Rattus norvegicus: one gene and its partner. The protein of the gene in region 2 binds, or shares a complex with, the protein of the main gene of each other region. Links are inferred from orthologs where the notes say so. Each region holds a gene or a part of one and is shown on either strand. Other genes may lie near its edges.

The links.
Region 1: the proteins of Hcn2 (region 2) and Pex5l are in contact, whole or in part, in a crystal structure (PDB 4EQF), measured with the Mus musculus proteins. The link is inferred for Rattus norvegicus from reciprocal best matches to the Homo sapiens genes HCN2 and PEX5L. Residues at the interface, in NP_032252.1 of Mus musculus: Leu859, Ser860, Ser861, Asn862, Leu863; in NP_001156988.1 of Mus musculus: Glu315, Glu317, Val343, Asn347, His426, Asn453, Arg454, Ala457, Thr458, Ala460, Asn461, Tyr472, Arg484, Tyr487, Asn488, Ile491, Ile494, Ile537.

The regions. Positions count from the first base shown.
Region 1 is NC_086020.1:117,833,584-117,837,475, forward strand, and holds the start of Pex5l (PEX5-related protein), read right to left. Parts: upstream 3,103-3,892; 5' UTR 2,720-3,102; coding exon 2,699-2,719; intron 1-2,698. UniProt on the Homo sapiens protein: Accessory subunit of hyperpolarization-activated cyclic nucleotide-gated (HCN) channels, regulating their cell-surface expression and cyclic nucleotide dependence.
Region 2 is NC_086025.1:10,622,385-10,626,197, reverse strand, and holds part of Hcn2 (potassium/sodium hyperpolarization-activated cyclic nucleotide-gated channel 2), read left to right. Parts: intron 1-230; coding exon 231-377; intron 378-3,257; coding exon 3,258-3,498; intron 3,499-3,638; coding exon 3,639-3,803; intron 3,804-3,813. UniProt on the Homo sapiens protein: Hyperpolarization-activated ion channel that is permeable to sodium and potassium ions. Displays lower selectivity for K(+) over Na(+) ions. Contributes to the native pacemaker currents in heart (If) and in neurons (Ih).

The DNA of each region.
Region 1 (3,892 bases), on a different chromosome or scaffold from region 2:
CACTAACGAGAGCCATCTTTGCTTAAGTTACTGGGGTAATCAATTCCCTCTGGAAATAACTGGTTAGTCAGTGGAAAACAACTGTACTCCAGGGAACAACGCATCTCCTTCGCCTGAGGAACACACACACACACACACACACACACACACACGAGACAATGACTGTGAAACCAAGAATATGTTCCTGCCTGCAGTCTGTCTGTCTGAAGGAGATGTCACCTTTCATCTTGCAATGAAGGATCAGAATGAACTGAATGACTGTTGTTAAAAGCCTGCGAGTGGAGGTTCTACCACAAGTAGAGCCTTTAGCCTTCTGTGTCAGACTCATGAAGCCACTCGCAGAAGCAGGAAGTTACAGACAGGAAGGCTCTGCAGGAGTTTTAACTGGACTATTTTTAAGGCTCCATGTGAACAGCCCTCATCCACTCCAGATTGTTATTTACAAAGCACTTTGTTTTTTAAAATATCTCGATCACAGAAAGTACAAGATTTAGAAGGCATAGGACATGATTCAAAGGGTTTCTGTTTTATACCTGCCTTAATACAGACAAATAGAATCAGCCTTTCCAACGAGCCCAACCCTGGAAGCAGCCTCAGTCCATACGCAGGCTCCTGGTCTGTGCTCTGAAGGTTGTGTTGGGATTTTAACTGAAAATATTTGACACTGTTTGGACTGTGTTTGTTCATGTGTGTGACTAGAGTCAGGTACACACAGGATGGAGCTAAACCTGGGAAGAAGCCATTCTTTAAACACAGCAACACTAGGGAGGGTCCGTCTACAGACTAAATGACAGTCTTGGGGGAAGAAAGTGGGTGTTTAAGAATGTAACCAAAGAGATGTATCATGAATCAGGTTGTCAGAGGTGATTTGGGGACAAACGAATTCCCATTCAGACAGTGCGGTGTCTGAACTTTTATGTTCAACATAATGGTCAAGTGTGAGGGGAAAGGCAGGGTGCTCTGGAATTTTGGCAAGAATGCTGATCATGGCTTTTGTTTTGTAACATTTTCAAGTTAAGCTTGGCAAAAAGGGACATGTGAGCTTCGCTGCAAGCCCTGGTGTGCTGTTACAGGAGCACACGTCACAGTGGGAACAAATGGACAGTCTTATAGTCACATTTTGTCTCGTCTTCCAAAGTGAAATCAAGTCTTCAAAAATTGTTCTAGACCATTTAAATTTCAATAGCACCCATTCTTAAAATATTCTGAAAATTGAGTTAAATTTGTTTTGGAGGGTGTGTCAATTCACCAGATTGTTTCTTCAATTTTGCATTCCCAGGAACATATTTTGGAAAAAAAAACCCCACAAAATCTCCCAAACAAAAACGTCATGGAAAGTTCTTAATAAATTGTATTAGGTAATCAACTATGAATTCTGTGTATATGAGAAAGTTTCTGAGAGCTGAGTCTGTTTATTCAAATGTTTCTCTTTTATCTTTGTGAAGAGACTATTTAATAATGACATGTAAAGAATGAAAGTTTAAATATCATTCTTGTGTGAAAACAAAGCATACAATTAAATCAGTCCTTTGCTAATTTTTTTCCCCCAGTAGTGGGAGAGTTCCTTTGACTTTAAACTTTCAAGACAGGCAGATTGTATTTGCTACATATTTTTAAATTATACTAATCATTATCCGTCAAATGTGACATAATCCCATTAATGACTTTCAAAACAGGATGATGTCAGTGACAGGGCAATGCTATTGGAATTCTACTCGGCTGATTCTGAATTCTTAGCAAACTTAGGATACAATCAGTAATATGCTTTAGATGAGCTACAATTAGTGCTGGGCTTTAGATAACAGTCTGTGATAGTTCAAAGGAATTTCCCCAAGACCTGGAAATTAAATATTAAGTCATGCACACAGCAGCGTATTTGTTCTGTCTCAAGGAGTCTAAAAGATACTGGAGCAGCATCTTTGGCACTCACACAGACACACCGGATGGCTGCTAGGTGTGGGGGACACCGCCTATGAGGACTGCTAGCTGAGAGAAGCCCCAGGGAGAAACATGTCAAGGGATTGGGAAGGAGCTCCGCTCACACTTCAGAACGCTGAGTTAGTATTTGGGTTATCTCTCCACCACTCCGCTGCATAATTTTATCATGAGGAAGACTCAACCTCGTGCATGAAAACTAAAGTCAAGGTTAAAGTAATCTTCTAGCTGAGTACAGCGCTGGCATCTGAAGAAGCCCCTCCTGAGAACCTGCTCCGCTGTGACTACTGGGACAGGTGACAATGTCCCGTCACCTGACGGGGGAAATACATCATGGAACATTTAAGAAAGAATGCTTTAAGGAACACCGCGGCAGCGGCTAAGTGCTGGGACTGTGGAGCGCCCTGGGCAGGCGGGAGAGGCGGCAAGTCTGGCTGATGTTTGCCCTTCAGCTGACATACGTGAGAGGTGCAGCGGCAGAATTGCTAGGAAACATGGTCACCTCCTCGGGGTTCCTCTGCGAAGATCCCAGAGCCGGCTTAAAGGCACAGGCTCAGGACTGCCCAGAAAGCAAACTTCCCCGCACAAGTTCCCGGTCTTTCCTCCGCATCCCACCCTGGGATACCGTGCAGTGTTACTGGGGGACGTAAACGCCTGGGTCATGGTGCCCCTGTCACTTGTTGAGTTGGGCGAGGGCATCTCTGGACCCAGGAACTTGGGGAGCACTGGCTGTTCAGTCGACCTGCTGAGGGAGGTCTCTTACCTGCATGTGTCCCTGGTACATTCTGCTCCAGCGTCGTCAGGGCTCCCGAGGCCGATGACTGCTTTCCCGAGCTGGCTCGTAGGGAGTTGCAGGTCGGGCAGCGGGCGCGGGCTCTCCGCCGGGCGCCCCGGCTGTGGGTTACAGAAGCAGGCGGGCGAGAGGGCGGCTGGGCGAGCGGCGCGCTGCGGAGCTGTCCTCCACGCGGGTGCTGAGCGCGCGCGGGCACGGGGACGCGGGGCCGGGCTCTCCGCGGGCGCAGTGCCGCTCGCCGCGCCTCTCCAACTCGCCGGTCCTGTGCCCCACTCTCCTCGCCTTTCACGAGGCTGCAGCGTCCCCTCCCGCCTCCGTCCGGACGCCAGCCCGCGCCAGCCGCCGCCGCAGCTGCCGAGCGCAGGGCGCGCGCCGCCCTCCGGGCCGCGTCGCCGCCGAGAGCCGCTGGCCCGGCGCGCGCGCTCTCGTGGAGCCGGGGGCGGGAGGGCGGCTCCAGCGAGCGCGCTCCCGGACGGTGCTCTGCTTGCTCTCCCTGGTGGCTCATAGAAGGAGGAGTAGATCCTGGGGGAGAGAGAGAGCTGCCCAGGCCTGGAACCACGGACTTTCCAATGCATTGTTGGCGACTCCGAGGCCCGGGACTGACCACCATCTGGAAGAAAAGTGGGAGAGAGAAGGTAGTCTTTCTCAGAGAGGTTACAGAGAGTGTGTCCTGCAGACAATAGGCCACGTCTAGGGGCTTGGAAGAGTTTGTAAGCTGATTGGGCTCCAAGGAGTTACCTATGCATTCCACTTCCAGTTACCTCTGATCATACTCCTTAAAAATCACACACTTCCCCCCCAGAATTAAAAGCACTCCGAATCCGGTGTAGTTGTTGTCTATCTCCCTTAACCTTACTTCCATGACATCAGGAATCTCTGTGCATTAGCATAGCCCAGCACAGCACAGCCCATCTGACAGGTGGTAGGTATCCAACAAATATTTGCTGAAGGAGTGTCCTGTTCCACAGATTGAAATACGTAGGCGGAGTGTTTAAATAGGTCCTGGGTTGAAAAGACTGCATAGTATGTTTGTCCTCCTGCATGTACACACTAGCAGCAAGGTAGGTGGTTACAGAGCCCCAACCTCTCAGTAACTTTTCTTAAAGCTAGAAGTATGAGAATGCAAACTCCCTAAGATTTGTGTTCCTAAGATTCTGTGATCAG
Region 2 (3,813 bases):
CAGCATCAGAAGCCTTTTGCAGTGGTACACGTCAATTATCCCAGCACCTAGAGGCAGAGGCAGGATGGGAAGTGTAAGGTTATCCTTGGCTACTTTAAAGCCGGCCTGGACTACGTGAAACCCTGTGTCAGGGGCCAGGCTGTGTAAAGCAGTGTGTCCCTGGGCTGGGTGGCATCGGGCTGGACCTGTCTGACCATCACTGACCACTGATCCACTTTTTCTCCCTTCAGTACAAGCAAGTGGAGCAGTACATGTCCTTCCACAAACTGCCGGCTGACTTCCGCCAGAAGATCCACGATTACTATGAACACCGGTACCAGGGGAAGATGTTTGACGAGGACAGCATCCTGGGGGAACTCAACGGCCCACTGCGTGAGGTGAGGTGCCCACGGACAGCCACAGGACCTGGGGAGTCTCAGGCACATCCCAGCGTGCTGCACATGCAACCGTGCCCAGGGTCTGTGGACAAACTGATGGGGCACGTGTGGGACCCAGGGTCAGGTCTGGGCGTGTCTATTCCTGGCCGTGTCTCCCGCACCTCCCTGGCCATCACCTGCTCCCCTGTGAGCCTCAGACACAAAGCTATGGTCATGAAAGACACATCTGTGCAGCCACGCTCCCTCCGAGATCGTGGGGGAGGGTCCTTCCTGTGTCTCCAGCCCCTTTCTTATTGCACATGTGTGGGTGCCTTGCTTGCATGTGTGTCTATGCACCAGGCATGAACATGGTGACTGTAGAGGCCAGAAGAGAATATTGGATCCCTGAAGCTGTGAATCCCCGTGTGGGTGCTAGGAATCGAACTGTCTCTCTAGCCCCGCTTTATTTGACACACGTGTGTGTGTGTGTGTGTGTGTGTGTGTGTGTGTGTGTGCGTGTGTGTGTGTGTGTGTGCACGTGTCTGTGTCTCCACAAGTGTGTGCAGGTGCTCACAGAGACCAGAAAGACAGTGTCTGCTCCATTAGAGCTGGACTTACATACACTGTGTGCCACCAGATATTGGACCCAAACCCTGTCTTAATGATTGAACAGCAAACACTGCTAACCCCTAAGCAGCCAATCCAGCCCTGTCTTTAAATGCACACATGTGGGGTTGGGGATTTAGCTCAGTGGTAGAGCGCTTACCTAGGAAGCGCAAGGCCCTGAGTTCGGTCCCTAGCTCCAAAAAAAAGAACCCCCCCCCAAAAAAAATGCACACATGCGTGTGTCCAAGTGCACATGTGCACTGAGCTGGAAGATAACCTTGAGTTTTGCCCTTGAGAGGGCACTGTTCACCTTCTTTTAAGATTTATTTATTATTTATTTATTATATATGAGTACACTGTTGCTGTCTTCAGACTCACCAGAGGAGGGCATCAGAGGGCATCGGATCTCATTACAGACGGTTGTGAGCCACCATGTGGTTGCTGGGAATTGAACTCAGGACCTCTGGAAGAGCAGTCAGTGCTCTTAACCGCTGAGCCATCTCTCCAGCCCACTGTCCACCTTCTTTTAGACAGAGTCTCTCTGTCCTGGAGCTCAGCCATTCAGCGAGGGATCATGCCCCAGGGATCATCTGTGCATTCCAAGGCCTGGGACACCAAGCATACACTGGCGCCCTTGGCTTTTTAACATGTCTTGAGGATGCTTGCAGGGCTCACAAAATGCCCACTAAGGCTGGGCTTCATCTGTATAACCCTTCATTTCCAAATACAGTCCCATCCACAGGTTCTGGGGCTCTGTCAGCCGGGGAGGTGTGGCCAGCAATTGGGGGACAATGGTGTGGTGCTCAGGGCTGAGTGTAGAACACTGAAGGGAAGGCCTGATGTCTAGGGCCCAGGCAGAGGGCAGAGTCAGGGCAAAAGCCCCCGGGGTAGAATTACAGGAGGAGGCTGCCAGGGCTGGGAGGCCAGGCACCTGTGCAGAGCCATGGGGGACTCAGGGCTTGGGGCCCAGGGCTGTGTGTGGACATCCCAGTTGGTAGCCTTTGGTTAATGGTCTTGGAGAAAGTCAACAGAATTAAACAGACTGTTAATCTCACTTGTCCTTTTGTAGATAATGTAGCTCACAGGCCTTAGCTGCATGAAGTACACAGGTTTGTAGAAGAGACATACATCTCCAATTCTATAACTTTATCACCAGCCCCAAGGAAACATTTCTTTTTATTTTTTTTTGGTTCTTTTTTTTTTTTTCGGAGCTGGGGACCGAACCCAGGGCCTTGCGCTTCCTAGGTAAGCGCTCTACCACTGAGCTAAATCCCCAGCCCCAACATTTCTTTTTAAAACATCTTTTTTTCATTTTACATCGAGTGATTTGCCTGAATGTCTGTCTCTGCCCCAGTACCAGCATGCAGTACCAGCAGCAGCCAGAAGAGGGCATTGGACTCCCTGGGATTGGCGTTACAGATTCATCAGCCATGTGGCTGCTAAGAATTGAAACTAGGTCCTCTAGTTTCAAGAGTAGCCATCTCTCCCGCCGTTCTTTTCCATTTTTGAGACGTTTCATTCTACAGCACAGGGTGATTCGTGGCAGTTCTCCTGCTTCAGCCTCCCAAGTGCAGTGGCTACCCAGCCCGGCTTGCATGATCACACTTTGTGTGTCCCTCTGACTCCCTTCTCCTTGGGAGGGTCGAGGAGGCTGGCCTCATTGTCCATGGGTTTCTTGTTGGGTTTTGCATATGCTTTTGGCAGTGACCTTGACTAGATTCAGCCGTTTAAAAACACAAGCATGGTGCACCCTGGCTGGGAACTGCATTGGGTAAATGAGGCAGAAAGAAAGGACACCCCATCTAAGAGGCCAGAGGTAGCATGTGGAGTGGAATTCTTTCTCTTTGGAGGTGAAGCTCATGTAGCTCAGGATGTCCTAGAATGTCACTAGATAGGTGGCGAGGGTGACCTTGAGGGTGATCCTCCTGCCTCCGCCTCCAGAGGACTGTGATGACAGGCTTGTATGACCTGGTTTATGCCATGCTGGGGATGGAACTCAGGGCATGCCAAGAAAGAGCTCTACGCACTGAGCTCTGGTCCTGCCATTAAGCCTGTGGGGTATTTTCTGTGGTCCTGTTCGCTATAACGGCTTTCTCCATTCCAGTGTCACTCACCCTATGGCGGTATAGGGACTCGGGACTTTTTCCCGTATGCCTTAAGCTCATTTCCCAGTCCTGCCTCCAGCGTCTGCCTAGGAAGTTAGATAGGGGCTGAGGGGCCACCAAGTAGCCCAGGGGAGAGTGAGGGTCTGAGGTACCAAGCCAGTGACTTCGCCACCCTCCCTTCCACCCACAGGAGATTGTGAACTTCAACTGCCGGAAGCTGGTGGCTTCCATGCCGTTGTTTGCCAACGCAGACCCCAACTTCGTCACCGCCATGCTGACAAAGCTCAAATTTGAGGTCTTCCAGCCTGGAGACTACATCATCCGAGAGGGGACCATCGGGAAGAAGATGTACTTCATCCAGCACGGGGTGGTGAGCGTGCTCACCAAGGGCAACAAGGAGATGAAGCTGTCAGATGGCTCCTATTTTGGGGGTGAGCCCCCTACGGCAAGGCTGAGATCTGGATGGGGTGGGACTGTGGACAGCTCAGACCCGGGGAGGTTTGACCCAGCGTCGGGTGAGCTTTGAGCGTGGGCTGGGCAGGCTGCTGAGGCACCATCCTTGTTTTTACAGAGATCTGCCTGCTCACGAGGGGCCGGCGCACAGCCAGTGTGCGGGCTGACACCTACTGTCGCCTCTACTCACTGAGCGTGGACAACTTCAACGAGGTGCTGGAGGAGTACCCCATGATGCGGCGTGCCTTTGAGACCGTGGCCATTGACCGCCTGGACCGCATAGGTGAGCTACT